Linked DNA regions of Diceros bicornis minor. The protein of the gene in region 2 interacts with the protein of the main gene of each other region in a pairwise test. Links are inferred from orthologs where the notes say so. Each region holds a gene or a part of one and is shown on either strand. Other genes may lie near its edges.

Region 1 (7,940 bases), on a different chromosome or scaffold from region 2:
TTTACATTGTGTTTTACCCATTGCAAAGCATTTTCATACCCACTGCTCTACAAACCTCCTCTTTGCCATGCAGCTACCAAACAGCCAGCTTCTTCCGGGGTACGTCTGCCAGGAACATGTCTCTTGTTCCCACGCTCATAACCTAGGTTTGTCCCCAAAGCCTGCAGGCCACATACCTGAGTGTACTTGCGGAAAAATACCCCTTGCACCTTCCCAAAAATTTCATAATCCACTGATATCAGAGTGTCCCCTTCTGCCATGCTCACGTTCACACCTGTCAGAGACCAGGAAAGCAGAAAAGTAAAGGACTCATCATCCTATTCCACGCCCCTAATCCTGAGACAGAAACGGCCACCCTCTCCCCTTCTCCATCCTTAACACCTGCGACCTCTTCCTGACCTTAAGGTGCCCCGACTTCAGAGTACGTAAGCGGATACGTGCAAGCGCGGTGTGTGAACAGAGGGCACCCGGGCAAAGGAACTTCGGTCGCAACTGCCCACCGAGGCCTCTTTTGGGGCAATTACCTGCTTATCCAGTGACCTCCCTACACCCATCTCCGATTCTGCTCCCTCTCCATCCCTACCTCTTCCCAGGGACCTGGCTTCGCTGCGGCAGCCAGAATCCCCTTCTACTAACATTTTAGGACTAACCGAATGATAAGTGCGCCCCGTAGCCACGTCCCAGGATCACCCTCGTCGTTCTCCTCCCAGGCGGCCGAGACTACATCAGCGACCACCACGCGAACGGCCCCCTCAGCCGCGTAACCGTCGCGCCCGGAAGCTTAGAGTGCAGCTCCTCTTTCGCTGTCTCTCATGCCCATCACCTCCGCCGACCAATCACAGACGGAGCACTCCGGCGCAGAGCCCGCCCAGAGGGTGGGGTTTCGGGACGCGGTTGTCACGAGCGTGAGCGAGCCTCGGGCTGGGGATCTGTCCAGGGTCTCGGATCAGAAATAGAGTACCTGGCTGATGTTATTTCTTTCTCTAAAATTCATTTGCCCGGGTTCAGATCCCAGGCGCAGACCAATGCACCGCTTGTCAGGCCATGCTGTGGCGGCGTCCCACATAAAGTGGAGGAAGATGGGCACAGATGTTAGCCAGGGCCAGACTTCCTCAGCAAAAAGAGGAGGATTGGCATGGATGTTAGCTCAGGGCTGATCTTCCTCAAGAAAAAAAAACCTATTGAGTGTCTATTATGTATGGGACACCCATAGGATGTACAAAGATGAAAGATATATAACCTTTGTCCTCAAAGAGTTTTTCATTTAGTGTAAGGGACAAATATGCACGCAAATAATGACAAAACAATGCACAATACGCTAATTCAATGCCATGAACACCCATTGAGAGCTGATCATGAGCCAGCCCCGTGCTATAACAAGAACAGAAAATATTACGGGAGCACAAAAGAGCAAAGAGATTCACTCTGGGAAGATTGGAAAAGCTTCTTGGAGGAAACAGCATATTATCCAAGGTTACCCAACCATGACGGGTAAGTGACGGAGCTGGGATTTGGTTCCAAGCAGTCTGAATACAGAGCCCACTCCCATAAAGGCTATGTTCTACCACCTCCTAGTACGTGGAGCTTGGCCTGAGGTAGTGCCACTGAGGTAACAAACTGCAAATAGTCAGGTATGGCTAGACCAGGGGTTCTCAACCCTGGCTGCACATTAGGACCTTGGGGGAAGCTTTTAAAAATACTGATACCCAGGTCTCACCCCTAGAAATTGCTTTCCAGATAGTCCTAAAGCACAGCCAGGGTGGAGAGCAACTGGACTAGACTCTGGGGAGGCAGGGCTGGAAAGGTAGGCTGGAACTAATCTGGCAGGTTGAAATACCACGTTAAATTACGTGTTTCAGCTTTATGCTATAGGTACGACAGGTTTGGAAGTATTTAGGATAATTATTCTGGCAGCAGCATGAAGGATGAGCTCAGGGAGCAGATGTTGAAGGCAAGAATAGCAGTTAGGATTGTGATGCCATCCAATGAGAAGAGAGGAAAAACTCACCTACGGTAGAAGAAATGTAAAGGAAGGGTCATATATGAGAGACACTGCAAAGTAAATCCATCAGAGCCTGCTGACCGATTAGAGGGAAGGAGTGACAAAGAGGTACTCGGAGATGACTGATGCTTTCAGCGTGAGAAGGAACACTGGAGAAGAAGTGGATTGGGGGACTGGAGAGATGATCATGAGTTTGTTTTCTGTCACGCTGAGTTTGAGGTTCCTGAGGAACATTCATGTGGAGGTGCTAAATGAGCAGCTGGAAATTTGAGTCTGTAACTAAGTAGAGAGAGCTAAGCTGGATATCACTTATACACAGGTGAGACTTGAAATTTCAGCATTTGCTTGAATCACCAAGAAAGAGAATGTCTGAAACTGCATGTATATGAGAAATAAGAGGGCTTTGGAGAACACCTAAATTTGGGGGGCAGGTGAGGAAAAGACATAAATGCCAGAGACCTGGAAGAAGATGGAGCAAGGACATGTAGGAAGAAACCAAGGAAGCACAGGAGAGTGGGGCCGGCCCTGTGGTGTAATGGTTAAGTTCTCGAGCTCTGCTTCAGTGGCCTGGGGTTCGCAGGCCTGGATCCCAGCAGTGGACTTATGCACTGCTTATCAAGCCATGCTGTGGCAGGCATCACATATAAAGTAGAGGAAGATGGGCACGGAAGTTAGCCCAGGGCCAATCTTCCTCAGAAAAAAGAGGAGGATTGGCAACAGATGTTAGCTCAGGGCTAATCTTCTTCACCAAAAAAAAAAAAGAAAAGAAAAAAAGGCACAGGAGAAAGTGAGAAGAGAGTTCCAAAGGAGTGAAAAATCAATAATGTCAAATAAGTAGCCTGAAGAAATAGCAGCTTTTGTCTTTGGTCATTGGAAGGTCATTGGTAGCCTTGCAGTTAAATACAGTGGAAAGAGTGGAAACCAGACCACAATGGACTGGATAATGAGCAGGAGATGAGGAAGTGGGGGCAGCAAATGTAAAGTTTTCTATTAAGAAGTCTTGTGGCGAAGAGGAGAAATAAATGGGACCCTACCATGAGAGGTGGCAGGTCAAGAAAAATGAGGTTTGTTTTGCAGAGGAAAGTTAAGCATATTTTAAAACAAAGAGAAGGAATATGTGGATAGACACAACTTGAAGCTAATAAGATGGAGGGGTAAAGTGATGGAGTCAATTCATGGAGGGTAATGAAACGGACTAATTCAAGAGAACTCATGGAAAGAGAAATACTCTTCTTCCTCAGAGACAAGAGGGAAGGAAGTCAAGATGGAGGGAGGCACTCTGGCAAATTCTGCCAGACTGGAGGGGAGCTGTGGGAGCTGATGACAAGCAGGCCCCATGCTGAGATAACTAGGACTTTGAGAAGAGTGGGAAACGTCTGGGACTGCATATATAGAGAAGGCAGTAGAGAGTCAACTAGGAAAGAAAACAAAGAATATAAGGACTGCCCTGGAGGGCCCCACCAAGGAATTTCTTTGTAACATCTAAAAGATGTAATATGACAAGTTAAAGTATTAACACTGACTACTGCTGTCTATATTATTTTCCATGTGCATGAATCTTTTGAGTAGTTATGATATTGGCTCAACACAAGGTTAACATAAGGGAAGCCATACTGTAGAAAAGAAACCCTATTGTAACTTTGAATGATCTCTGATTAATTAGCCCAGACATGCTCTGTGGATTTTATGGCCACTCCCAGTTGCTGTAAGTTGATAACTTTGTTCTCTTGAGTTCCTTAGGAATGTGATGACCCCCCAACAGAGAGTCTATGCTGATAGCCATCATCAATAACAACTGAAAGATCTGGTGTGGCGACTCCCAGTCTGTAACACCAGAAGGTCAACATTCCTAAACCCCTCCCCTATAACCCACTGGCCTATGTAACTGCTTTAAGATTTTGTGCCCCTTAAGATGGTTCTTTTGGACATGAGTCAGCAATCTTCCCTTTTGCTAGCAAGCTGTAATAAAAAGTCCTTTTTCTCCTTGCTTCTTGACTATTGGCATGCCTCACAGCCAGCAGATGAACCCCCTTTTTAGGTGGTAACAGTTACAGGAAAAAAGTAAGCTGCCTGTTCTAAATAGCTTACACAAAGGAACTGAAGCATGAAGACAAATAAACTCTTTTCTGATGTTAACAATTTATACAGTATCATTTAGTGTTGAAACTAGGTTATACTGATTATTTTCAATCTGGTAGTTAACTTTATTATCATTTCATTTGGCTGAGTCATTCTTGGGCCCTAAGAAAAGACGGCCAGAGTTACCACGTGAGAATCAAACATCATATCAAAATAATTAGACTGGCTACAAAAACTACCCCGGACAGATACTGCATAGCAAAACCTAGGCGAGTTAATAAAATTTGACTGCAAGGTCCAAATTATCGGCGAGGAAAAGCACGGAGAGAGATACATAGCCATACCTGGGGCCCGGACAGAGCAGCGGAGCATGCTAAGAAAGGCTATCAGCAGGCCCACTCCCGCTAAGTGGGCGGACATCGGAATCCTGCCGCGGAATGACTGGCGGGCACAGCTAGGGGCTCGGGCGTTTGCCAGGGAGGGGCGCGCCCCAGGGTCTGGGAGCACCATTCACAGAAAAATACAAGTTCTTTCATGGAGCCCCAGAAAAGCTTCTCCCGCCCCCTCCCCCATTCCCAAGGGCAGGGCGATGGAGCTCCAGAGTTGGCAGGACACCCAGTCAAGTGATACTCAGGCTGACCGCACCCCCCACCCGCCCCGCCGCGTGCGGACTGCGCCTGCGCGCGCTGCCCCGGGCGGGCGGTGCTCGCTGCCAGAGGCGGGGTTGGGCGCGCACACGCTCCAGTCTCCAGGCAACGGGAATAACAGAGGCCAGCTGAGAGCGCCTGCGCGGCCGGCGGTTGGTGGGTGTCCGGTCGGGAAAACTAGGTTCTGGAGTTTTCCCTGAGCAGGGACGGTCCCCGAGAGCCTCAGGTACGCGCAAGGGCGCGGAGACGTGAGGTCAGCACCTCGCCCTCCCAAGAGCCAGAGGTCAGAAGAGCGCTTTGTCCCCAAAGCGGGCTCCCCAGTGGGGGCGCCCCAGCTGACCCTCCAGGACAGAACGTGACTTCCGCATTCCGAATCTAAAACCTGCAGCGGCCAGGTCAGGTGGTCCCCGCCTTTCAGGTTACAGACCTCTCGCTGTCTGCGCCGCGGGGGCTCCTTGGGTGAGGATTTGTCAGCCAGGCACCTGCTGCACCAGGCCCTGAGCGCCCTCTGTGCTCTTTGGAGTCAAGCACGGTTTCAGCGGGAGGGAAGCCTTGAGAGCTCTTTGTTGCCAGTCATTTACCTCCGGGCTGCAGTTTTCTCACCTATACAAGGATTGGGCTGGACTCGCAGTTCTAAATTCCAGTCATGTACTCTAACTGAGCGAACCCCTCAGTTTACGGGTGAAAAAACTGGAACCAGCAAGGGAAGTTGCTTGTCCTTTGTCACCGGCCAAAAGCCTGACTTTCAATCCAATAGCTCTTTCCACCTACTACGGAGTATGATGTGTCCGGCAGGAGCATCACTGTGTATGGCAGGGGCTAGTACTGCTATAAAGGAAAGCTAGGCAGCAGGAACACCTGTATCATATTCGTTTTTCTATCCTCAGGACCTAATAAGCACTCACAGGACATAATCTCTTGCCAAATGCTTATTGAACGAAAGCTCTGGCAGACCCAGCACCACTGTCCCTAAAAAGTCTAAGGGGAAATGTGGGTAGGACAAGTGTAGAAACAGTTTACTTTAGTAGCTGGGGTGAATCTCAAACTCCTCATATATCTGGTTTCAATTTCTTCTAGGCTTCAGTCCAGGCCCTGAATGGCTGGTCTCCAGTTGGTGCCACCTCTGCCTGTGGGCGTTATGCTCCCATATAATAAAATAGAAGCTCCAGGGCTGCACTCAGCCAAGCAAGACCCCTGTGAAAAAGGTGACTCTTGCCAGCGGTCCTCGATGGGGCACCTGAGGAACAATTTCCAGCAGAAGCTTTTGAGCAACAAAGAGCTGACAGTGGATAATCTCTATACTCACCCCAAATGGAACACCTGCACAGAAGCCCAGAGCCACACCTATCCCCACTGTGCTGGAATCAGCCAGCAAGATTCAGGAAGCAATACCCAGGGCCAAACAAAGTGTTTGTTTTACTCATCAAGCCATCAGTCCCGGTATCCCAAAGCAAATAACCAGGACTTCATCCCCTTTACAAAGAAGCGAGTTGGGGTAGACCGGGCATACCCACTGAAGCCCGTGTTCCATCGGAAGTCTCGTAGTACAGGTGAGGCTGGCACTGATGGGGACCAGAATGTCTCTCCACGACCCCCTGAGCCAAGAGAGTTTTCATACAGCAGCTTTGATTCAAGAAACTGGGTGAACGCATCTGTGGCTGGCACTGTTGCTGCCATGCAGGGGGAGAGGGCCATGGCAAACCTCAACAGGACTTTGTGGCTGCAGATCCAAAGACTAGAGGCTGCAGGAGAGAGCTTAGAGGAGGAAATCCGAAGAAAAGAGACCCTCCTGAGGCAAAAGCTGAAGAAGACAGAGGAGGAACTCAGAAGGATTCAAAAGGAAAAGGAACAGACAGAGGAAAATGAAAAAGGAGAGCTACAGAGAAAGACACTCCCCAGGAGAAGAGTCAAAGGTAATAGCAACACCACATACAAACCTCTCTTCTCCCCAGAATTCGGGTCTGAGGGGGTCTTCAGTAGAGACAGGGGAGAGGATGAAACTTGGGTATGGTCTCAAGAAAATTCTAGTCCATTCCAGTTCTCTGATTATGGACTACAGAAGCTCAAAAGAGAAAGACTGGGGGCAAGCAATAACAAAATCCGAGACCGAGTCTCAGGGCCATTGAAGGCGAAGTTTTCTCAGCCTTCAGAAGTGCCAGGCAGTGCTTTGCAGGGATCCACCAGCAATTCTAGCTTGCCCGGGGCACCAGACTCCTCAGGTCCCAGCTGTCCCACTGAAGAGCCAGAACTCGGCGAGTGCAGCCACTGTGGACGCAAGTTTCTCTTGGTCAGGCTGGAGAGACACTCCAATGTTTGCCGCAGGATGCAGAGTTCCAAGAGGAAAGTGTTTGACTCATCCAGGGCCCGGGCTAAGGGCACAGAACTAGAGCAGTACTTGAACTGGAAGGGACCAGCCTCAGTCAAGGTAACAAGGGCTTCATGGATTTGACTTTGAGTGTAAGGGCCTGTTATATCCTCATCAGTTTTCTTTAGTAGAATTTCATGTGTCAAATAGGGAGAAAGTGAGAATTAACAATTATTGAGTACTACTGTGTGCCGGTCACTGTGATGGGAGTTTTTCATATGGTCCTCACCACAACCCTGTGAGGATTTCATTATCTCTTATCAATTCAAAAATTAAGTCTCAGAGGGCCCAGCCTGGTGGCACAAGCGGTTAAGTGTGCGTGCTCTGCTGCGGTGGCCTGGGGTTCGCCGGTTCGGATCCCGGGCGTGCACCAACACACCGCTTGGCAAGCCATGCCATAGCGGTGTCCCATATAAAGTGGAGGAAGATGGGCATGGATGTTAGCCCAGGGCCAGCCTTCCTCAGCAAAAAAGAGGAGGATTGGCAGATGTTAGCACAGTGCTGATCTCCTCACAAAAAAAAAAAAAAAAATTAAGTCTCAGAGAGGTTAAGTTGGTTGAGATCACAAACAGCTTTAAATGACAGAGTCGGCATATAAATCTGGGTCAGAATGACTCCAAAATCTAGACTTAAAAAATATATGTCCTTTTGATTATAAAAGTAATAAACACTACTGTAAAAAATTCAAAAGACAGGAAAATTATAAAGAAAACAACTATGCAGCATTTTACCACCCTGAGAGAATTCCTTGCTCTAGGATCTGTTACCACTCCTATAACCATATCTATTTTTTCAGGATTAGCTCAATTTTGATATATCTTCTTAGTAAATACATGAAACACAACTA
Region 2 (7,576 bases):
GGTGAATCCCCAGACTCCCTCATGTCTTCCTCATGTGTCCCTCAGCCAGCAGTCTGTTCCCAGCTCTGCTCTGGGAAAATGAGGGTCTAGGTCTTAAAGGATTACACACATTGTGCTTCATGTCTCACAGAAATTTGAAGCAGATCCAAGTCCAACCAGACACTTAGATCTGCTGTTGAAACAGAACTACACCTCTAATACTAGACCCTGGAAAGTAGATTTCTAGGCTGCAAATGACATGAGGGAAGGCCTTGGAAGTGCTTCAGATTTCCTAGGTTGTCCCGAAACCAACTGACCCAGGTATGAAGTACCCTAGACTGTTATAGCTGAAGGGGGCCTTCAAGATCATTTTATAAAGAAAGAAACTGAGGCCCAGCAGTAATTGATTTGACCAACGTTCTACAACTGGTTAGAGACAGTGTCACTTTGTCCTCTTTCCTCTGTTCCGTACTCCCCAACAGACTGTGGACTCAACAGGTTGTCCTAAGGTCAGGGACAAGAGGAACAGGGTTTGTTTTGGAACCATCCTGAAACGTCCTTCACCTCCCAGAACTTCCTGTGCCTAGGTCCCAGAACTTCCTGTGCCTAGGTCAGCGAGTCTTTATCAGCCTTGAATGGGTCATTTGGCCTAGTGCCTGGAGGAACTGAGATTAAAAATGGTCTCCAGGACTAAACTAGACTCAGTTAAGAATTAACAAAGCTTGAACAAAGCTTGGGTGGAGAAGTATGTGGGAAGTGAGACAGGCAAGCCTCATCCTGGGGGGAATTGGGGGAGAGAGAGGATGAGGGGGGGACAGGGACACGTGACACGTGTGGAGCCTAATCTCTGTGATTAGTGTGACATTGTCAAGGAGAAGACATGAGGTCAGGATTAGGTTCAGGAGTGAAAAAGCAACCTGACCTGGGAAAAGGGGACTGGGCCCTGAGTCCAAGGAGGTTGGTTCCTAAAGTACTGTCCCTGTGGGAGGGGTTGGAAGGAAAAGGAAAATGTGTGCATTTGAGCAGGAGTGGACTTTTGCTCAAGAGTCGCTGCAAGCTTGAATTACCATCTGGGTTTGCATGACTGAAGGCCCAATTCATATAATTTCCCTTTTCTTCCTACCAATATTCCATCCTCTGACAGAGGGCGTTAGACATAAAATGTGCCTTACTGCTGGTGCCCCCGGGCACCTGAGCTCATTGCTCAGTCGGTGATGGTTGAGTGAATGAGTTAGTTGCCTAGTACAGCCAAGATTTCCCACTGGCACTAGACCCTTGGAAATCCCCTGTTTTGGAGAGGCTATAAAATAGATCTTGTACTAGTGCTCCAGGGACTTAGCCTTTTTGGGTCTCAGGAATTCTCTTGCCAATTGCTTTGGAAATTTGTGGCTACCTGCCAATACCACCACTGCATTCTCTCTAAGCCTAGTCTCCATTGCAGCCTGCTTGCCCAGCACCTCAGGCTTCCCCAGTGAACCCAGATCTCATTTGAAATCTCACAAATATTCATGTCAGCCTCTAGGTCTTGGCTCCTAATTACAGGACTAAATGAAATGCAGCCTACTCCAATTGTATTTCAAAGCCAACATTTTTGACTTGACACACTTAAAATACAACAGATTTTTAAACCTAAGAGGGCAGGCGAAGGAATGGGTAACAACTAGGCAGTAACAAAATGGCTGGGATGACTTTTCAGGTTGCCGGAGGCCCCCTAAAGGGAAAGAAGAGGGGAAAGAGCAGAGAAAGAAAACCCACAGCAGCAGCCAGGGCAACCTGGAGAGGAAGTGGCTTCCTGCCAGGGCCAGAGCCTAGAACTGATGTGGAGACCAGGGACAACGCTGCAACCTTCTACTGACAGCTCCTTTGAAATTAGGATCTCCTAGGACCATATCCTTCAAGTCTCCCTGTGTGCTGATCCCCACACCTTTAAGGGGCAGCCACAAATTTCCATTTCTGTTGGTTCCAGCATCCTGTCTTTTCACCAACGTTTCTCCCCACCATCAGGATCACATTCTGGGCCATAGGACCTCAGAGGAGTCACATTGAAGATTTGGTCGCGTCCATTCTCAGCTTCCAATTACTGTCCTGCAAATGGTTCCCAGAATCAAGATCCACATTCCTACCATCTCTTGGACATTTATTTCCATTGAGATGTGTTACTGTCATCTTAAACTCAGTATGTCCAAACTAAGGTCATCGTTCTTTCCTCCAAACCTGCTCCTCTTCTTGACTTATCCTTCCTGGCTCAAACCCTGGAATCTTCTCTGGTGTCTCCCTTCATCTGCTCCCTCTACTCAGGAAATCACCAAGCAGTCACAGCCTTCTCTTCCAAGTCTGCATCACTTTGCAATGTAGAATTTGGAAGGGACCTTAGACACCAGGCAGACAACAGACTCCCAGTGGAGTCATGGGATTTGCTCAGAGTGATAACACTACTGAGAGGAGGAGCTGGAACCAGCTCCATTGTGCCCTGACCCCCTGCCCATTGCTGTTGCTGACAATGTCTTCTTTCTGCATGTGATTGACCCCCTACCCAAACACTCGTAATCGAAGCTCTTAACCAGTTATCTGAGACTCCTTAATTTTTCCACAATTGACTTCTCTGACTTTCTGTCCTTCTTCTTCCTGATGCAAATAAGAGCTAACATTTATTGAGTGTTTACCATGTGCCAGGCACTATTTTAAATGCTTTACATGTATTAACTTAATCCCCACTAACCTAGGAAGGAGGGTACTATTATTATTCCCATGTCACAGATGAGGAAACTGAGGCAGGCCACCTTCCCCAACCTGAAATCTCTCCCTGCCCCTTGTCTCTGTTCTTCACTCTTTTCCCCCCAACACTGTTCAGATTCTCTCTCTTCCAGCAGCTCTTCTCTGACTCCCCTCAGCAGCCAGCTGTCTCTCCCCTCCTCTTACCCAGAACATGCCGCATCCATTTGTCTGTCCCTCTTGGCACTCTGTCTCGGAACTTGTATCCCATCCCCAGCAGCCCCAGCTGCTCCTCACTAAGTCTTATATATGCTTTGCTACCTGGGCGCCTGCACAGTGCCCTGCACGCAGCAGTCTCGCGTCCTTTCTTTTTTTTTTTTTTCGTGAGGGAGATCAGCCTTGAGCTGATCCGTGCTAATCCTCCTCCTTTTGCTGAGGAAGACCGGCTCTGAGCTAACATCTATTGCCAGTCCTCCGCCTTTTTTTCTTCCCCAAAGCCCCAGTAGATAGTTGTATGTCATAGTTGCACATCTTTCTAGTTGCTATTTGTGGGACGCGGCCTCAGCATGGCTGGAGAAGCGGTGCATCTGTGTGTGCCCAGATCCGAACCCGGGCTGCCAGTAGCGGAGCGCGCGCACTTAACCGCTAAGCCACCGGGCCTGCCCCTTTCGCCTCCTTTCTGTCTAGTACTTCCGCTTCGCTCTCCCGAGTGTCCCCACACACAGGGAGACCTAGTCCAGAAGACAGTGCTGAGGGCCAGGTGATGAAGGGGGCCCAGCTGACGGATTCAGACATCTCCAGTCAGGCCGATGGCTGAATGTGACTGAGTTCCTTGCCTGCTACGGAGGCTATCAGACTTGCCTGCAGGCTAGGGAGTGACTTCCTTTGGCCCTGTATAGATGGGGCCCAGTTTACCTTCCTCCCTCCCCTCCCCCACTGATGGCTTGACCTACACCAAGGCAAGCCTGGGACCCATATTTATTTGGCCTTTTAAGAGACTCTCTTCTTGCCCATGTCATCTCCATGCTTGACAGAAAACTGCTCTCCCATTTCCAGATTCCTTTCTTCCTCTTCTGGCTTCTCTGAATTTCCTGCCTGCCTCAGTGGAGTCCTTTTCCTTCTCCTCCCTGGCCCAGTAGCCCTCTCTCCTCTTCTTCTTTCTGCCAAGTCATTGATCTAGGTATTTAGATTCTAATCTCAGCCCTGTTCTTGACTTGCTGTGTTACTTTGGACAAGTTACTTTCCCACTCTGGGCCTCAATTTTCACATCTATAAAAGGAGGTGGCTGGACTAGATGGTGAGTGATGTCCCGCTGAGCCTACAAGCTCCTTCTCCCTTTTATAGTCCTCCCCTCCTCTCCCCTCTAGGCTCCTCTCTCAGGTCTTCTCTCCCAGGGGAGGCCTGCCGTAGCCCCAGGAGAGCTGTGGCTCCAGCTCCTGTTCCCTGTCTAAGTGACCAGCCCTGGGCCTTTCCCCCAGTGCTGGCCCCGGCTCCACTCCATGTGGCCCGTCTGAGAGGCTGGCCCCAAGCCCGGCGGCAACTCCACATTTCTCTGTTTTTCCTTTTTTTTTCTCTCTTTCCCGGAGTTAACAAGAAGCAGATGTGGCGCACGATGGTTGGAGAGATGGGGGGAGGAAGGGGGAGGCTGGACCGCCAGCCAGACAGGGGGGAAGGGAGAGGAGTGAGCAAGAGAGGGAGGCGAGAGGCCAGGGCCCGCCCCACAGCCACTCTTGTGCCTCTCAACAGCCACAGGGGCAAAGCCCTGTCACCCCCAGGATCTGATCATTGGGGAAAACAGATAGGGAGAACAGAGGAGGGCCAGCTGGGCAAAGGGGCGGAGGCCCAGGAAGCAGCATCTGAGAGGGGCAGGGACCAGGCACAGGAGGCCGGGGGCACAGAGAACAAACTCCCCTCAGAAGTGGAGAAGAGGAGAGCGGAAGGAACCGAGGGAGGGACAGACGGGAGTGTGAGGAGGAAAGAGGAGGGGGAGAGGGGTCAGGCCAGGCGGCCAAGGAGGAGGCGTGTGGCTGGGGGCTGCCGGCAGGAAGCTGGGGACAGGACCCGACCGGCGCTGTCCCTTGGAGCAGCGGCATCCCCCGCACCAGGCAGAGACGCCAGTGGTCAGGCTGGGATGTGCCTCTGAGGGCCACCGCGGAGCGCCCCCACCATGGCCCCCAGCACTTTCTGGATCTGCTACCTCTGCTGCCTGCTGACCACAGCCGTGGGGGCAGCTAGCTACCCTCCTCGTGGTTACAGCCTCTACACGGGGAGCGGCGGGGCCCTCAGCCCTGGAGGACCCCAGCCCCAGAGTGCTCCCCGGCCTGCCAGCCGCCACAGGTAAGAATCTGGGTCCCAGAGGTGGGTGGGAGGGTGAGTCAGAAGGTGGGTATCCGGCCCCTGCCTTGGCTACCCTCTCCAGGGCTGTCTCCCCTAATACAGGGAAGAAGGGGAGAGGAAGCCCACCCATCAGGTGGCTCCTCACACGGCCACCTTCCTGCAGGGCGTTTCCAGGGCCCCCTGAATAGATAGGTCCCTCTGTCTAACCTCAGGGTGATCAGCTCCCATGTCCTCCCTGTGGGACCTGCAGTTAGGTGCCTGGGAAGACTATCCTGAGAGGCGTGGGCCAGGCCTTCCTGCCAGCTGCCAGCTGCGTACCAGCCTGGGATCCTTGGGCAGACCTTTTATCCCTTTCTAGGGCTTCCTCAGCCCCATCCAGTAATCCATGATTCTGACACCACTCTTGCCCTGCTCCTTTCGGCTCACCAGCTGGACCCAGATCAGAGGCCCGCTTGAATGGGGCCAAGAGTGTAGAACTGCAAGCCCTAAGGGTGGCAGGACTCATCAATGGCTTATTCTCCATTTAACCCTGAGCTGGATCCCTGCCTGCCCCATCCTCTCCCCTGAGGGGTGGGTGGAAGCCAGCATCCAGGGTATCACCTGAGGGACCCAGCTAGCCAGCTCACACAGGCCACACCAAAGTGTGGATTGAGACAGAAAGGGACGTGGATGAATGTGTGAATTCAGAGGCTCCCAGGACCCCCCCCAGCCATGAGGATCAACTTCTTGTAGTTGTGGTTTTCCATTCTGCGCCTCCTCTCCCCATCTTGAAAAGTCTTTATCGACTGCTGCCTCACAGGAAGGCGTGGGGGGAGCTGCCACTGCCAGAGCCCTGGCTCCCACTGGTCCCCGGGGGCCCTTCATCTTTTGACTGTCCCTCAGCTCCTCTGGTAGCCCCTGGGCCCTCCTCTGGGGCGTGTGTCTCTGGCCCTTGGGCCCAGGTGGGGTTGTGCCTGCAGGAACTGGTGTGCCTACGTGGTGACCCGGACAGTGAGCTGTGTCCTTGAGGATGGAGTGGAGACCTTCATCAAGCCTGACTACCAGCCGTGTGGCTGGGGCCAGCCCCAGTGTGCCCGCACCATCATGTGAGCCTCTGTGCTGGGGGATGAGTGGGTATTTGGTGGGGGTTGGGCTAGGGCAGAAGGCAGCCAGCCAACTCAGGGAATTCCTACAAAGCAGGGAGCAGGGGGCAGGACCAGGGGCTTCAGTCAGAGCCATTTTGAGGACACGCTGAGGCAACAGTTTGGCTGGTGGGATACTCAGGGCACACCTTTACCTAGGCCACCCTGCCAGCCCCCAAATGCCTTCTCTGGGCTGGGTCATGCTCAAGGAGGGGAGTTCAAGGTTCCAACACAGGACAAGGGGAGGAAGAACAGGGATTTGGCCCTTGGCCAACAAGCTGACAGCTGTCAACTGAGCAAGGCCACATGCTGGACAGTAAGGGGGACTCAGCCTGAGAGACAGGCTTTGCCCACCAGCAGCTGCCCATCTCTGAGGACAGGGGCCAGTACGTACAGGGAGGAGTAAAGAGGCCTCCCTCTGCCTCTCCCAGGTACCGCAGCTTCCTCCGTCCTCGCTACCGCGTGGCCTACAAGACAGTGACAGACATGGAGTGGAGATGCTGTCAGGGGTACAGGGGTGATGACTGTGCTGAGGGTCCTGCCCCAGCTCTGGGTCCTGCACCTACCACACCACGCCCCCAGCCCCGGCCCGCCCGCCCCAACCTCTCTGGCTCCAGTGCGGGCAGCCACCTGAGTGGACTAGGCGGGGAAGGTGAGTATGGGAGCTGCTGGGGAGAGAAGTGGGAGACTGTGATGGGCGAGAAATGTGGGGCCAGGCTGCCGAGGGAAAACCCCCAAGCTCCCAGTCAGAAGAAAGGGACAGAAGGGAGTTAATGGGATCCCTGAGATCCCCTGTCCTCACGCAGAGAGATTGAAACCGAGAGAAAAAAGGCAGAGGAGAATGTGCTCACACACGCCCACATGTGGCCAAGATACTTCCTAGTTGGGAACAGCTGCGGGAGGAAGGGGGAATTCCTTGTAGAAGCATGGTCCAAGGGGATAGACAATTGAGACTACAAGTCCTAGCATGCACTGCAACCAACTACAGGTCCCAGGCCCCTCGGTGGCCTCTGGAGACTGCAGGTCCCAGAATGCAGCCGTCCCTGTTGCCTTCCCGGGCCTGCTGGGCACTGCGGTGTGCTGTGTTTGCCTGCCAGGGAGATAGCCATACTGTCATTATGGAAACAGGAACTTCTGGCTGACTCGCCCACCATCCAGCTAGCACCCCTGCAGGCTTGTTGCAGAACCTCGTTTGTCCCTGTGGTGGTGTGGAGAAGTGCCACCCAGGAATAGCCACTGTTGGGGAGTCCACACTTCCTCCCTCACATTCCCATTTCACTCTCCCCCAGGGAGTGACATAGTGTTATCCCCATTTCACAGATGAGGAAACAGTTTCCATAAAGTTAAGAGGCAGCTCTGAACAGTGGAAGGACTTGGGCTTGGTGGTCAGATGGATGACCTGGGGTTGAAACTTGGCTCTGCCGCTT
Region 3 (8,468 bases), on a different chromosome or scaffold from region 2:
CTCTTTCTAGCAGAAAACAAAAAAGAATGAAGTATCAGCAAGAACATATCAAGCAAGGAGGCCCGAGAAAGGCATTCCAAGCCGAGAAAACAGCATGAACAAGAGCCTGAAGTCACTGAAAGGGCCTATCCTGCCTAGAAGACGACAGGACAAAGGATGGAGCTGGAAAGGTTGGTTGGGGCCAGAGCAGAAAGACCCTGTGTGCCAAGCTAAGGAGTTTAGGGGCTTCTTCTGTAGGCAGGAGAACCAGCAGAGATATCCTCTCCCTTCCCAGGCCACCTTGCATTCCTGCTCCAAAGGATGCCTCAACTCTGGGAAGGAAACACTGACAACTCACCCTCATTCTGGCTTAAAAAAAAAAAAAAATTCCAAAGGCTCCCACCACCTGGCCTTGAGCTAGCCCTTCCCTTTCTCCCACCTCTCCCAGCCTCACCTGTTTCCCTTCCAGCTTCCTTAGAAGAGTTCAGTTCTGATAGGGGTGATTCTGGAAGTGACTGCCCAGAGCAGGTGTACCATAGGACCAATGGTTAAAAAAGAATTAAGTCCCACTGTTGCCAGAACTGATTTTCAAGAGGATCAGAAATCCAGATTGATATATGAAATCTGATTTTTAAAGGAAGGAAAAAAACACATCCAACACTGTGTGGGCCAACTAATGCATGTCTATAGGCTGTCTGTGCATGACTGTGGCCCAGGGCCTTTGGCCTCACTGGAATCCACTGAAGTAAGCAGGCTAGCATCTTCCTTTTGAAACATTTTAATCATCCAGAGCTTTCTTATAATCAGGCTTTTTAAAAAGATCTGTCTTCCTGCTTGATCTGTTATATTTACACATATAATCTAAGCATTTAACACCTACCAGGTGATTAATCAGACCTGCTGCTCTAGAAAGCTTCAATTAACCTTCAACTTCCACTCGCTCCCCTGCGAGTATGCATTTATTCAGAAATATCTACCGAGTCCCTGCTCTGGTGATAAGAGTAGTGAAGAAAATGCCTTATTGCTTTAGTTCCTGACTTCTGGACAGACAGCAAACAAATAATCACAAACTGTGATAATAGTATGAGGAAAAGCACATGGTGCTTTTGATACCAGCTCAACACAAGGTTGACATAAGGGAAGCCATACTGTAGAAAAGAAACCCTACTGTAACTTTGAATGACCTCTGACTAACTAACCCAGCTGGATATGCACCCTCCAGGAGATCTAACGGCTCTGTAGATTTTACAACCCCTGCTTGTGTATGTACCTCCCCGCTGCAATAAGAGGATAACTTTGTGCTTTTGAGTTCCTTAGGAATGTGATGACGCCCAAACAGAGAGTCTATGCTGAGAGCCATCATCAATGAAACTGAAAGATCTGGTGTGGCGACTCCCAGTCTGTAACACCAGAAGGTCGACATTCCTAACCCCCTCCCCTATACCCCACGGGCCTATATAACTGCTGTAAGATTTTGTGCCCCCTGAAGATGGTTCTTTTGGGCATTAGTCAGCCATCTTCCCCTTGCTAGCAAGCTGTAATAAATAGTCCTTTCTCTCCTACCTCCTTGCCTCTTGACTATTGGCATGTCTTGCGGCGAGCAGAAGACCTCCACTTGGGGGGTAACACTATGTGAAGCTGTAGCATGAGGACAGAATTCATATGGGGGGGGTGTCAACAAAACCCTTCTGAAAAAGTGACACTTCAGCTGAGACCTAAAGGATGGCCAAAAGTTTGTCAACGGAAGGGGGGAGGAGGCATTCCTGGCAGAAGGAAAAGCAAGTGTGAAGATCCTGAAGCTATAAGAAATTTAATGCATTCCACGAACTGAAAGGCTAGTGTGACTGAAACCCAGTGAGCAAAGGGGAGTGTGGAATAGGATGAGGCTAGATGGGGAGGCTATAGCTGGATCACGGAAGGCTCTGAAAGCTGCAGTAATGAGCTTGGACTTTCTCATAAGGGTAATGGGCAGCCAGTGGATTCTCAACAGATCTTATAACAAGATCTGCCTTTTAGAGAGCTCACTCTGACCCAGAATGGAGAATGGATTGGAGGGAACAAGGTAGGGCTACACCTACCTTCCTCATCACTGTAACCCTGGCATCTAGCATGGTGCCTGCTAGATGTGGCACTCAGTAAATGTTTGTGGAATGGCTGACTGTGAAAACAAAGGAGCCCATTACAGTAACCAAAGATTGGAGCTGAAGAAAAGTGTTCTGAGGTGAGATGTTTTGTAAGTCGAGTTGATAGGACTTAGTAAAGGATTGATTGAACGTAGCGGTTTGGAGATGAGTAAAGGAGAGTCAGGCAAGATTCCCACGCATCTGGCTTGAGCCAACTGTACGGCTGGAGAGGAGAGTTGAATGAGATGGGTAAGACCGGAGAAGGAGCGCAGGGAGAGGGCTCGCAGCCGACTATCGGATTCACTCCCAACTCCCACCACACGCGCGTGTCTGAGCATCTGAGGAACACTGGGCACAAGGCAGGACTGGGCTCCCCGAAGACGAGGGCGGTGTCGCCCTCTCCGCCCCCGGGCTCTCCCCGATCCACGCTAGGCCATACGAGCCTGCTCCATCCATGCGGTGTGGGGAGAGGGCACTAGGGGAAAGTTAGGAAAGCCTGGGTGATGGAACCGGCTTTACTACGTAAACTCCTTGAACTTATCTGGGCCGCAGTGTCCTCATAAGATCGTTCCGAGCCTCAACGCGTCAAGCTCCAGGCCCAAGCTAGGCGAGAAACCGCTCCCAGAGAGCGAGCGGAATTCCCACGTTTCCTTCGGCCTGGGACTGCCTTTCCTCAGGGCGCGGGCCCGTCAGGTTCACCTCGCCCCGGGTCCGCCCGCGTCCCCGGACCCGGAGTCACGGCCTACCTGCCCACCGGGTACCGCGGCGCGCCGCGCCCCAGGCTGACGTCGGCGGGCAGCTTCTCTCTCCGGTCAGCGGCAGCCGGTACCTTACCCGCCCGCCTCAGCCGCTGCCACGGCTACAGGACCTGTTTACCCATGACGTCACTACCTAACACCGGAAGCACTTACCGCAGCCCAACCCGCAGAGCCTGCGGGAAAACGGAGGTCTAAGAGGAAGGACGGCTGCCTACAAGATCCAGAGGCCTTTGCGCCGGAAAGGCCGCCGGAAGTAGCTGTGCGCTCTCAGCGGAATACTCTCAGGGGCTCCTCCCTCCTCCCTGATTGGGTGTTAGGCATCCCCGGCCTCAGCGTGCCATGCTCCCAGATCGGCGGGGCTGGGCAGCGGCTCGGGGTGGAGTTCGCGGGCGGAGGATGTGAGCTCACACGCTGGGATTGCTGGCGGGCAGGCGGCCACAGTCTGGGGGCGGCACGGTGTCGGCTTGCAATCCAGCTGAGAGGAGAGGCACCCCCGGGGACGGTGAGAGTCGGGTCTGCCGATGCCCTAGGGGAAGGGATGGACTGGCCGCGGACTGGAGCAAAGAGACCCCCACCCGGTGCTGGGGAAAAGGCGTGGGACGGCGTAGGGGAGATGGAGAGCTCAAATCCTCCCCTGGGAGTGGGTGTCAGAACCGATCCCGGTTTCTCGGTAGTGAGGTGGGGTACGGGCTGGGGAAGACTCGACACTGGGCAAATTTCCCGTGGGTTGGGTCTCGCTAAATCTCCCCAGACCCTTGGGATGAAGCCGAAAATTTACACCTAGCATTTCTGCTAGATCCGCCCTCTCTAGACCAGATCGGCCCCACTCCCCCGCCTCCGCCATCCTCCGTGTGTGACGGATTTCTGGGTCCTTCTTTCTTTAGGACCCCACCTTCTTCCACAGCTGTGGTTGTCTGCCCTTTATTCTGCTTGGGTTCCCTTTAGCTTCGCTGAGTGAGACGCGGATACGCCCCTAGCCCCTGGCATCCCCAAATATCCACACACAAAGTCCGGAAGGAAGAGCGCTGAGGCTATCAATGGAAACTTCATTCTCACTGGAATTACTTTCTGGGGCGTCACCTGCCACAGGATTCCTGGAGCCCATTGGCCTGGGCGGAATCTGAGCTGACGTCATCCATGGGCTCAAAGCAATTGCTTTGTAAGAAAGGAATAGATTAGCTCTGGATTTGTCTACCTCCGTTGGCAACCGCCTAGCCTTTGAGCTCCTTTGCTTTGGTAGAATATGTATGTGTACTTTCTTTGATCCTGGGGAAATTGGGGCTAGACACAGAATACGTAGGTAACTTGCTAAAACCTGTTGAAGAATGGATTTATTCCCTTGGGGTGGGCGGAGGAAGGTAAGGTGATCTCATACCACTCACCATTACTTACTGATTGGGCAGTCTGCTGGTGAGGGCTCAGCTCATCCATACTCCGTCTTGAAGGCAAATGAGAGTCTCCTGGACAAGCCCACTTGCTCTCTTGCACCCTTACAATTCATTCTCTACGCAGCAGCCAGAGTGATTTTTTTCAAAATGTAAATAACTCAGGTCATATCACTCCCCTGCTTAAAACCCTCCAATCGATTCCCATTGCAATTAGTATAAAATCCACTCTCTAATATGATCTGGCCCCTGCCTTCCTTGACTTGAAATCAAGCCAACATCCCCCTTCTTTCTATGCACCAGCCATCTTGGCCTTGTTTCTGTTGCTAAACCTTGTGTCTAACTGAGGAACTTTGCCCTTACTCTTCCATCTATCTGGAATGCTCTTTCAGACCTCAGCTGGAATGTCAGCTTCCTAAAGAGGCTTTCCCTGACCCCCTGTCTGAATTAGTGCTTCTCACCAGTCACTCTCTTATCTCTGTTTTATTATCTTTATTACATTCCTCACCTTCTGGAATTGCCTGCTTATTTATTCATTTTCTTGTTGTCTGTATCCTCCCACTAGAATGTAAGCTCCATGAGGCCATAACTTGTTTGTTCTTTTCTGTATCCCCAGTGCCTTGCATGGAGCAGTGGCACAATCAATGCTAACTCTTAGTATTTTTATTCTTGTTTACATTATGATGCTTCTTTGAACTCCTTGAAGGCGAAGACGGTATCTTTTCATCTGTCTATTGCTACTGCTTAACATAGTAGGCACTCAATATTGTTTTATTGCTGAATGAATTAAATGAGCTAATATATATTAAATGCCTAGAATAGTGCCTGGAACATAGTAAACATGCGAAGAATGTTTGCTATTATTTTTTTTTCAGTGACTGAATTTCAGTGATTCTTTAGAAAACCAAAACATATAGCATCTAAATCATGAGGGGTGACCTGGCTTTGCTCTCCTCTGCTTTCCTTGCCCTCCCTCCTCTGAACTCCTATCAGTGTTTCACTTTCCAGATCACTTAACTGTTTTTAGATTTATCATCTGTTTTTTTCTAGCCCTTTCTCCCCATTCTTGTTGGGAGGGAAGAGAGGAAGAGATAGGGCTGGGCCGCCTCTCAGGAAAAAGAAGCAAAAATAGCCATCCTGTAGTTGCTCTGTCCTGGAAAATGGTGACAATTTCAGGAACTTAGGACAGGGCTGATGCCAAGAAAGAGGAAGGTCAGGAAACCCCGGCTGGAGCCAGAGTAGCCCCTGCCAGGAACACTGGCCGACTCCCTCCAACCTGGCTCCTTCCATGCTCTCCTGAAGCTGCTTTTACTTGCCTTCCTGAAGCCAGACTCCGGGTGGTGCTCCAAGTAAGAACTGGTGCAGGCTGCTCCTGAGCCTGGAATCTTTAGAAAGGAAGCGCATCCTGTCACTCGGGCTCCTGGGAAACTCCCAGGCTGGCTGGATTCCCAGTATGTTTGGCTGGAAGTCTTGGATCCTGGGAACCTTGAGAAGAAAATAACTGGAATCTGACTGGTGGATCCCCAGGGTGGGGACTTCTGTTCTGCCCAGTCTGTTCCTCAAGCCATCTCTGACCAGCTCCAAGGGTTTGCTTGTCCTCCTTGCCGTCCAGAGCTGAGCTGGGTCTCAGGGAGGCTGGTGAGGTGACCAGTTCCCGGCTCTGTGAGACTGTGCTCCCAAACCTGATTCCTGGTTCCATAAATAACAGCAGGAGTGTCTTTCTTTCTTTCTTTCTTTTTTTTTTTTGTGAGGAAGATCAGCCCTGAGCTAACATCCGTGCCAATCCTCCTCTTTTTGCTGAGGAAGACCAGCTCTGAGCTAACATCTGTTGCCAATCCTCCTCCTTTTTTTTTCCCCCAAAGCCCCAGTAGACAGTTGTATGTCATAGTTGCACATCCTTCTAGTTGCTGTATGTGGGACACGGCCTCAGCATGGCCGGAGAAGCAGTGCGTCTGTGCGCGCCCAGGATCCAAACCTGGGCCGCCAGGAGCGGAGCGCGCGCACTTAACCGCCAAGCCACGGGGCCAGCCCCAGGAATGTCTTTCTTAAGGCCTAGGGCCTTAGCCTCTGCCAGGGAATCTAGGGCTTATTAAGGAGAGAATGACTGGATAGTCAGTGTTTCTCCTCCTGTCCCCTCCTGACTGAGGGCTCTCCTCTCCTGACTTCTGTCTTCTCTCCCATCTCCTGCTCATAGCACTGAGAGCATGAGGCTCTGGCCCCCACTGGCCACTCACTTGTGACCCTTCCACCACGGTGGAGCCTTCCAAGCCGACCTCCTGCCGTGTGGTGATCTACCTGCAGCGGGAGATGTCAGGGGATACCTGTCTATGCCCAGCCTCAGGGGCCAAGCCCAAGCTAAGCGGCTTCAAGGGAGGAGGCCTGGGCAACAAATACGTCCAGCTCAATGTGGGCGGTTCCCTGTACTACACCACCGTGCGGGCGCTCACCCGGCACGACACCATGCTCAAGGCCATGTTCAGCGGGCGCATGGAGGTGCTGACTGACAAAGAAGGTGAGGCATTGGGGCTTAATGAGTGGGGTGGGGAGGGAGGGAGGAGTTCCTGAGGAAGTGACTTCAGGGCAGGGCTTAATGCCGACAGTTCTAGAATCTAGATTCATTTTTCCAGTTCACCTGGTATACGACTCCTTCACCTGGAGTGCTTAGTAGAGCTTCGGAATTCTTTGAAATTGTACATAGAATGTTGTGTGTTTATGCATTTTCCAGAGAAGATCCATACTTGTTTTATATTCACATAGGACTAGATTCTCGTAAGAACCATCCCTGTAGCAACTGGGCAGTGGGCAGAAGGCAAGCAGGGCGTGATGGGTTCTGTGTTGCTGTGAGGTGGGCCTGAGCACTCCTGAGCTTAGATCCCTGTGGGCCTCCACAGAGCCTGGAGGGCCCATTGTCTTCCAAGGCATGTGCCAGTTCTTGGTTTCAGGGAGGAGGAGTGAAGAGCAGCCATGGACCTAGGAGCTAGAGGTTCTGTTCCCATTTCTGTTACCCTGTGCCATGGGCTCTGTGCTCATGTGCTCCTTGCCACCTGCCACCAGGCTCGTCAGGTGGCCTTTGCTTGCTTCTGAGGTACCTGGAGGCAAACAGTAACCCTCTGGGGCCTGTCTGAATCCCTAGGCTGGATCCTCATAGACCGATGTGGAAAGCACTTTGGCACCATTTTGAATTACCTCCGAGATGACACCATCATCCTCCCTCAAAACCGGCAAGAAATCAAGGAATTGATGGCTGAAGCAAAATATTACCTCATTCAGGGGCTGGTGAACATGTGCCAAACTGCCCTGCAGGTACGGAGGCAGAGTTGGGGCAGGTTGATGAGGTTAAGAGAGACAAAGATCCAGTTCCTGGAAGGCTGTGTGGCAGCTGTGGTTGATGAGTCCAAACCTAGTTAGATACACCAGGTGGTGCCCAGACCAGGTGAGCTGGCAGCCAGTCAGTTTGTAAGGTGATGAACTCAGGCAGTCTGACTAGGCCCTGCTTCTAGTTTATATGCCTAGATATCTGGATCTTAGGTTTTCTGGGAATGGGGGTCTGCTTGCCAGCTGGCAGTTTCTATTGCCAGGGGCCTCCCGATCTCTGTCTGATGCCTCCTCAGCCAGCAGGGGGTGGCCGTGATAGAGGGGCTCAGACGGCTCCTGGGGAAAGCCTGGCTAAGCCTGGCAAGCAGAAGATCTCAAAAAGATTCTCGGCTGTGTGTGTCACCCAGGACAAGAAGGACTCCTACCAGCCTGTGTGCAACATCCCCGTCATCACATCCCTGAAGGAGGAGGAGAGGCTCATCGAATCCTCCACCAAGGTACTGGGGCCTCTGAGGGCTCTGGGCAGGGGATGTTCTGACCCTGGCCTGGCCCTCACGCTCTCCTCCCTCACAGCCCGTGGTGAAGCTGCTGTACAATAGAAGCAACAACAAGTATTCCTACACCAGGTAGGGTGGGCGTCCTGGGGAGGAGGGTGGTGCGATGCCTGGGAAAGGGCTGCAGAAGCTGGTGAAAGGGCTAAACAGCCAGAAGGTGGGCAGCAGACCCGAGGGAAGCCCCCTGCACTCCTGGCACGATTGGCATGGGTCTGGGTCTCTGGAGGGAAGAACAGGGAGGAGAAGAAATGAAGGCAGAGGCATTTGGAGGTTGATGCAGGGTCTTGGCTGAGATAGAGACGAGATCGAACATGTGTCATGTCAGGCCGCATGCCAGGTGTTTTCCCAGCATTA
Region 4 (6,519 bases), on a different chromosome or scaffold from region 2:
CAGGGAGGCAGGAGTATTGCAAGTATCAAAGGAATGACAAGGTGGAACCTAGCTATTTTTGCCCTCTGGACTTGTGAGCATTGGTGAAAACTCCCTTTAGTCCCTCCCCAGTACCTGATGGAGGCCACCGTCCTGTTAAATACTGAGGAGTTGCATAGGAGACAGCTCAACACAGTCCCACACCTCATCTGTTCTACTCAGCAGCTCTATAAGGCAAGCATTATCCCCCATTTCACAGGAGCTAAGACTGACTCTTTAAAGAAATGTATCTGTAATAAAGGGAGGGTTTATTTTTCCAGTTAAGACTGAAAGATACTTAAAGTTCACTCTTCTTTAAGTTTGTTGAATCAGTAATTATTATGTACGTGTACTATGTTCACAGACTCACTGAAAAATTGTTTTCATTGTTTCTAAAACTCCAGATAATAAAAGGAAAAAAAGTCCCATGTTATCCAACCAGAGTAATGTACCCCAATTAACACCTTGGGATATTTGATTTCAGATTTTTGGTGGGTTCACATAATACATATATATGTATATATAAATATAAATGAGACAATAATAAATGTATAGACTGCTTTTTAATTGCTTTATTAACTTTACATTTTTCCATGCAAATGGGTGAAACTTGACTGTAGACAGAAACTTAGACTGGGTGCCAAGGCAATCTCCAATTAGAAACTAGTAACACAGAACCCATCTGACACATGGAAATCACATAAGGTTCACAGCAAACGGATCAGTAAAGGCATAACAGGAAAATGCAAGGAAAAAGAAAACAACAGTGGGAATCACAGTATTAATCTCATGGAAAATGGCAGGAGTCAAGGCATAAGGCAAAATTCATCATGATGGTCATGGTGATTAGAGAGCTCCCCCATGAGGATACGCAGACAATTCCTCAACTGCAGCTCCCTAAGTTTTCTCCTGATTTCTCTCATCTCCTCCATGAACATTTCCATATCATCTCCATCTCCACCCATCCCATCATTGACCTGCCTATTGGGTATGGCCCATCGGAGATTAGGGGCAAGTCGGCGAGCCTGTCCCCTTCTATTATTTCCTGCTGGCTGGTGACCTTCGCCCCCTCCCAGAGGGCGGTCTTCCTCTCCATTCTGCATGGGCTGCTCCATTTCTTCGTTTTCCTGGTGGATATTTGCCATAATGAGATTTTTTTTTTCTGGTTTTTCTTTGAACACAAGTAAGACAAAGGCAAGGAGAGAGACTGAATACTTGGTGCAACGACCAGCAGGATTCAGAGCCTTGATATCAAAGGTTTTTGTTAAATTTCATTTTTCCCCCACCTTTGGAGCTTCGTGCGCCCTCTAGGGGGCCTCCAATTCCAGCCCCACCCTCCGGCTCTCTCCTTTTCCCTCCCTCCCCCAAAGCCCACCATTTTTCCTTTTCCAGGATTCTTTCCCAGAGCTCAGCAAAGACCAAAATGGAGGACAGGGGACGGGGGATGGGGAAGTTGGGAAGCGGTCTCAGACTGGGCCCTGCACCTGTCCCCCGCACCGACCTGGGCCTATCCTTGCTGTCGCCTCCTCCTCCTGATTCTCGCTCCAAGTGCGCTGCCTCGACACTTGACACTTACACCTGCAGAGGGCCGAGGTGGAGAGAGCGGGGACTGTTGCCAAGCGCTCGGCGCCGACCCGCCGCTGCCCGGCCCCTTCCCAGCGCCGGGCCCCCCGGCCGCCTCCGCCCCGCGTCTGCCGCCCCTCGCCCCGCCTGCCTCAGGGTTCACCATTTTCCTGCAGGAACTCGGGGGTGATTTCCCATTGCTCTTAGTTGCTCTACTGCCCTCCCTGGATCCCTGCCGCTCCTGCACCCCCCCACCCCAGGGGGACTATTTATGTTCCCAAGAACGCCGGGATGTGGAGAAAGCTGGCCGGGACCCGCTGCGCTGATTCCCCGCGCCGGTCTCCGGGGTAGGCAGTCCGCTGCCGCCCGGGCCTCGGCGCGCGGCCCCGGGGCCCTTACCTGCTCCGCTTTCCCCGGGCCCGATGCCAGCCCGCCGTGCGCAGGGCAGCGGGGAGCTGGTACCCAGACGGGAGTGACGACTGCACCGAAGGCTGCGTCGCTCTGCAGCTCCCGGTCACGTGAGGGACCCGCGTCACGGCCGAGCTCGCCCCCAACTCCAGCGGCCAGTGCAGCAGGAACGCCCCCCGCCTCCTGCACGCGCACACGCACACGCACAGACAACCCTCTCTGCCTGTTAGTGCGCGGGGGCCCCAGCGCGCACCAGCCTGTCACTCATCTCGGTCCTCTCCAATCTGAAGGCCCGCAAGTGGCATCACCTCCCTGCGGTTGGAGTTTGCACTTCTCTGGTTACCTGGGAGGGTCTGCAACACCCTCCACCCCTCTCACTCCCGCCCCAAGCCTTGGTTTTGGCCTTTTCTGCTTTCTCTCCTCTCCTCGCTGTCCACATGCTCCACCACACACACACGCCCTGCACTTGCATAGCCAGCGTTGCCCACCATATCCCCTGAATTCATACACTTCTAGGAAATTTAGAATGAGAGCTGGGTGGGGAGGGAGCAGGGGACTTGTCAGAAGTGAGGCAAGGAGATAAAGTGGGCTGTAGATAGCCTTCCTAGTAATTTTTCTTTATTTCACTTTTTAAGAAATCAGCATGCCTCAAAAAATTAAAAATCATGAGATTTCATTTTTGAAAGAAATGCTTCATCATGCTGAATACAAAAGCTTTATTGTTTGATTATGTTCACCTGTACCACACAGAAAATATTTTCTCTGGGCTTCACACATCAGCATCACTTTTGAAACATACTAGCTTGTTTCAAAATTTTATTTTCAAAAAAGGAAGGCATCTTCCTGAACACAGTTGGTGTTTTCAACACGATCTGTACAGTAAATCTTCAGGAAGAAGTTCAGTTGTCAGATCTTGGCCATTTTATGTAAATTTGTGTAATGTTTTTGATACCACAGTCTTTGAAGAAAAAGAGCCTTTTTATTCCCTGCTTTCCTTTCCAAACCTTCCAAAGCACCCCAACAAATATCACCTTAGAATGGTCTCAGAAGTTAAGTATATAATATGCAGAAGTTAGTTCCAAAGCTATCTGCCTTTTAATGTGAATGTTTCAAAAAAATATTAGAAATAAGCAGGGGGTGTGTGAAGCAACTAAACTTGAAACTGAAACTTATCTTGAGTGTAAATGTTCATTTCTCCAACTTGAAATAACTAAAAAAAAATTATCACAGCTAGAAAATAGAGATGTCTTTAGGAAAGTGGCGTTGTTATAAAAACAATTTTTAGTAGGTTTTGATTGTGATAAAGGAACCAAAAGAGTTATATGCACTGAGGCAAGACAGGCCAGACAAATGCTTACTGCCTCTAGTTTTGGCTCCAAATTCCTATGTAATCTCCTGCCCTGCCAAACTAGCTGGGACATCGAATAAAGGAAGAGTATATGCCTAGTGCATATATAGTTTGAGGTTTTATATAAAATTATATATATATATATATATATGCTTTCAGAGATATATAGATATATTAATATGTAGCTCCAAAGGCTCAAATTACAAAATCACACCCAATAATTGTCTTTGAAAGGAATATTAGTGATTCCTGGGTTCTGTCTCACAGTTAACAATTCTTCATACAGATAGCTCTATTAATGATATTGGCTGAAAAGATGCTGATTAGAAGCATGAGCTGTGGCATCAGATGTGTCTGGGTTTAAATCTTGTCTCTGCTACTTACTTGATGTATGACTTTGGGTCAATTACTTATCAATGTCTTTGTGATTCCTCTGTGAAACAGGGATTCTTAGAAGAAATAAATCACGCATATCAATTACTTACCACAGAGCCTAATAAATCTTCAATAAAAGTTGACTTGTTATTTTTTTACTATTATAGATGGTTTCTAACAAGATTTGAAGAGTAGGCAGGGCAGAATTCTTTCCTTAGCTAGATCCACTTGTTTTTAAAATCCATGAGGGCCCAGCACACATCTGCTTTGTTCCACCTTGTATACCTGGTGATTTATAGAGTTCCTTGTGCAAAGTAGGTGATTAGTTCATATTTGTTGACTGAATGCATCTGTTACTGAGGCTCACTGGTTGCTTTTCATTCAGGGGACTGTATTTAGAGCAATACAGAAAAGCTTTTATGAAAATTAGGAATTACCTAGAAAGAATCCTCTGAAAGTAGAGAAACCACTGTGACATAACCATTGAATATGAAGTTTAGTAAGTCAATGTTTATTTCTCTCAGTGGCTAAACGCTTTGCTGTTGTCTTTTTGACCCATCTTGGATAAGTCTTTTGTTTGAAACCACCAAATTTTCTTGGATGGAAACATACATTTGTATATTTTTCCAGAGCTGATGTTATGCTATATAGGAGGTTGGTTGTAATGAAATGATGTTTTAAAGATAGGTAAAAATTGGCCTGGAAATAATGTTGTCTTTGTAAAATGTTGTGAGGTGTTGATTGAGATCTTTTCTTGTCCTTGGAGTTTTCTGAGGAGTTGGAGATAGATAACAACCTGTTGAGAACAAAATTTAAAAATTTTCCAAGGCTGAGTTAGGACACAAGAGTCTTAGTTTGGGACTCATGTGCCCCAAAGGACAAAGAGAGTGTGAACTGGTTTGATGGCTCTTACCCTGAAATAATAGAAGGGTAGCATAGTACTGGGAAGGAGGAGACTGGGTTCACATTTGGGGAAATGCAGTGTTTGTGAAAAGAACCTATCACCTCTCCTTATATCCTGCAATTATGGTAGATGGCGGCGCTTGATTGGTTCCCTTCCCCAAAGCCAAGGGAGTGGGATCCAAAAAGAATTGTACATAAAGTTTAGGGATATCTACAAGATGTTAAGGTTCACTTCTCATTCCTCTCCTGAATATCTGCTTTACCTCTAAGATTCTGAGCTACCTAGATGCTATAGGAACCTGGAAAGAACATTTTGGAGAAATGATGTGGTGATGTGGCCCGGTGGAGAAAGGGCTAGGATTGACACCCTACAAAAGTACCCAATTCTGGAGAGGCTGAAAAATAAATCCTACCATGCCTACAGGCTCTGGAACTGGAGCTAGGGAGAGGGGAATTATTGAGATACAAGCTTACCAGAAGCTGTGACAACATAGGGTAAAGAGACCTATGAATCATAGGAATGCCAAGTGACGGTCTCAGCTAGGAGTCACATGCAAGATATGGCTCAATCTTCCAAGTTGCCACCAAAACCTAAGGGAACTGCTTGAGTATGAGTCCTTAGCAGCAGGTTCTACAGACATCAAACTTGAGCCTCAGTGATGATTAATCACATGAGGATAGCAATCTTACTCTAGGTAGTGAGGTAAATAGTTGGCTTTTTATCCCCTTCCTCCAAACTCTCAAATCATCTGAGTAAACCCAGGGAAGGAGAGTATGATGGTTAATTTTATGTGTCGACTAGACCATGGGATGCCCAGATATCTGGATAAACATTATTTCTGGGTGTGTCTGTGAGAGTGTTTCTGGAAGAGTTTGGTATTTGAATTGGTGAACTGAGTAAAGTAGATGGCCCTGTCCAGTGTGGGTGGGCATCATCCAACCCATTGAGGGCCTGAATAGAGCAGAAAGATAGAGAAAGATTGAATTTGCTCTCTGCCTGACTTCTTGAGCTGGGACATTGATCTTCTCTTGCCCTTTGTGTTCCTGGTCCTCAGGACTTCTAATTCAGACTGGCATCTACACATCAACTCTCTAGCTTTAAGGCCTTCGAACTACACTACTGGCTTTCCTGGCTCTCCAGTTTGCAGACAGCACACCATGGGACTTTCCAGCCTTCATAATTGTGTGAGCCAAGACCTCATAATCAATCAGTCTCTCCATCTATCTATCTATGTATAGACATAGATATAGATATATATATATAGAGAGATATGTATCTATATATCTATAGATATAGATATGTAGATATTTATCTATCTATAGATATAGAGAGATAGAGATAGATCTCCCAGAGGGATGAGGTAGGCTCTGAAACAAAAGTGAGATTGGCATTTTAAAATACATAGAACTAAATCTTATCAGTCCAACTGAGACTCTTTTAATAAGAAAAGTGACTGAAAAGTTGAGGAAATGGCTGAAATGTAGTTAAAGAAGCAAATTACCCAGTAGAAAGTAGGGGAGATGATAGAAAGAGCACTATTGAGGCAGCTATTGGAAAAATAAAACTGTTTTGTGATTTTACTTCAACTAGTTATCTCTCAGTCAAACTGCGGAGATACCAGGTTAGTATCCCATCAGGGGAAGCTCATTTTTGCTGAAATCTTTTTGCATGTTGCTATGATATACCTTACATGTATTTGGATGGAAATACATCCAGTTGGATTGTAGTTATTGTCCTATTTTTCTCTGATTATACTCTCCTGGGTGAATGCTAAGTTTGGGAGAAGGTAGTCTGACACCTGGTGGGCTCTGTGGGAGTGGGTATCTCTGTTCCTGCCTAGAATGGTTCTCTATGTGTCTTCCTGATGCTTCATTGCTGCAATCTTATTGTGGTTTTCTCTAAA

The links.
Region 1: the proteins of EMILIN1 (region 2) and ZC2HC1C interact in binary tests that used the Homo sapiens proteins (3 or more experiments, as listed by UniProt). The two-hybrid records come from large-scale screens. The link is inferred for Diceros bicornis minor from reciprocal best matches to the Homo sapiens genes EMILIN1 and ZC2HC1C.
Region 3: the proteins of EMILIN1 (region 2) and IFT20 interact in binary tests that used the Homo sapiens proteins (3 or more experiments, as listed by UniProt). The two-hybrid records come from large-scale screens. The link is inferred for Diceros bicornis minor from reciprocal best matches to the Homo sapiens genes EMILIN1 and IFT20.
Region 4: the proteins of EMILIN1 (region 2) and protein BEX3 interact in binary tests that used the Homo sapiens proteins (3 or more experiments, as listed by UniProt). The two-hybrid records come from large-scale screens. The link is inferred for Diceros bicornis minor from reciprocal best matches to the Homo sapiens genes EMILIN1 and BEX3.

The regions. Positions count from the first base shown.
Region 1 is NC_080763.1:23,022,513-23,030,452, forward strand, and holds the start of ZC2HC1C (zinc finger C2HC domain-containing protein 1C), read left to right. Parts: upstream 1-4,865; 5' UTR 4,866-4,954; exon of another isoform or gene 4,955-5,123; intron 5,124-5,358; exon of another isoform or gene 5,359-5,805; 5' UTR 5,806-5,824; coding exon 5,825-7,153; intron 7,154-7,940. Other genes in the region: ACYP1 (acylphosphatase-1), read right to left, coding at 177-274, 4,426-4,591.
Region 2 is NC_080751.1:55,738,143-55,745,718, reverse strand, and holds the start of EMILIN1 (EMILIN-1), read left to right. Parts: upstream 1-4,393; 5' UTR 4,394-4,858; coding exon 4,859-5,028; intron 5,029-5,987; coding exon 5,988-6,113; intron 6,114-6,580; coding exon 6,581-6,801; intron 6,802-7,576. UniProt on the Homo sapiens protein: Involved in elastic and collagen fibers formation. It is required for EFEMP2 deposition into the extracellular matrix, and collagen network assembly and cross-linking via protein-lysine 6-oxidase/LOX activity.
Region 3 is NC_080757.1:19,127,122-19,135,589, reverse strand, and holds the start of IFT20 (intraflagellar transport protein 20 homolog), read right to left. Parts: upstream 3,076-8,468; 5' UTR 3,014-3,075; intron 2,972-3,013; exon of another isoform or gene 2,849-2,971; intron 1-2,848. Other genes in the region: TNFAIP1 (BTB/POZ domain-containing adapter for CUL3-mediated RhoA degradation protein 2), read left to right, coding at 6,553-6,757, 7,379-7,548, 7,968-8,057, 8,134-8,186. UniProt on the Homo sapiens protein: Part of intraflagellar transport (IFT) particles involved in ciliary process assembly. May play a role in the trafficking of ciliary membrane proteins from the Golgi complex to the cilium.
Region 4 is NC_080781.1:96,216,542-96,223,060, reverse strand, and holds protein BEX3, read right to left. Parts: upstream 1,616-6,519; 5' UTR 1,520-1,615; intron 1,146-1,519; 5' UTR 1,134-1,145; coding exon 825-1,133; 3' UTR 576-824; downstream 1-575. UniProt on the Homo sapiens protein: May be a signaling adapter molecule involved in NGFR/p75NTR-mediated apoptosis induced by NGF. Plays a role in zinc-triggered neuronal death.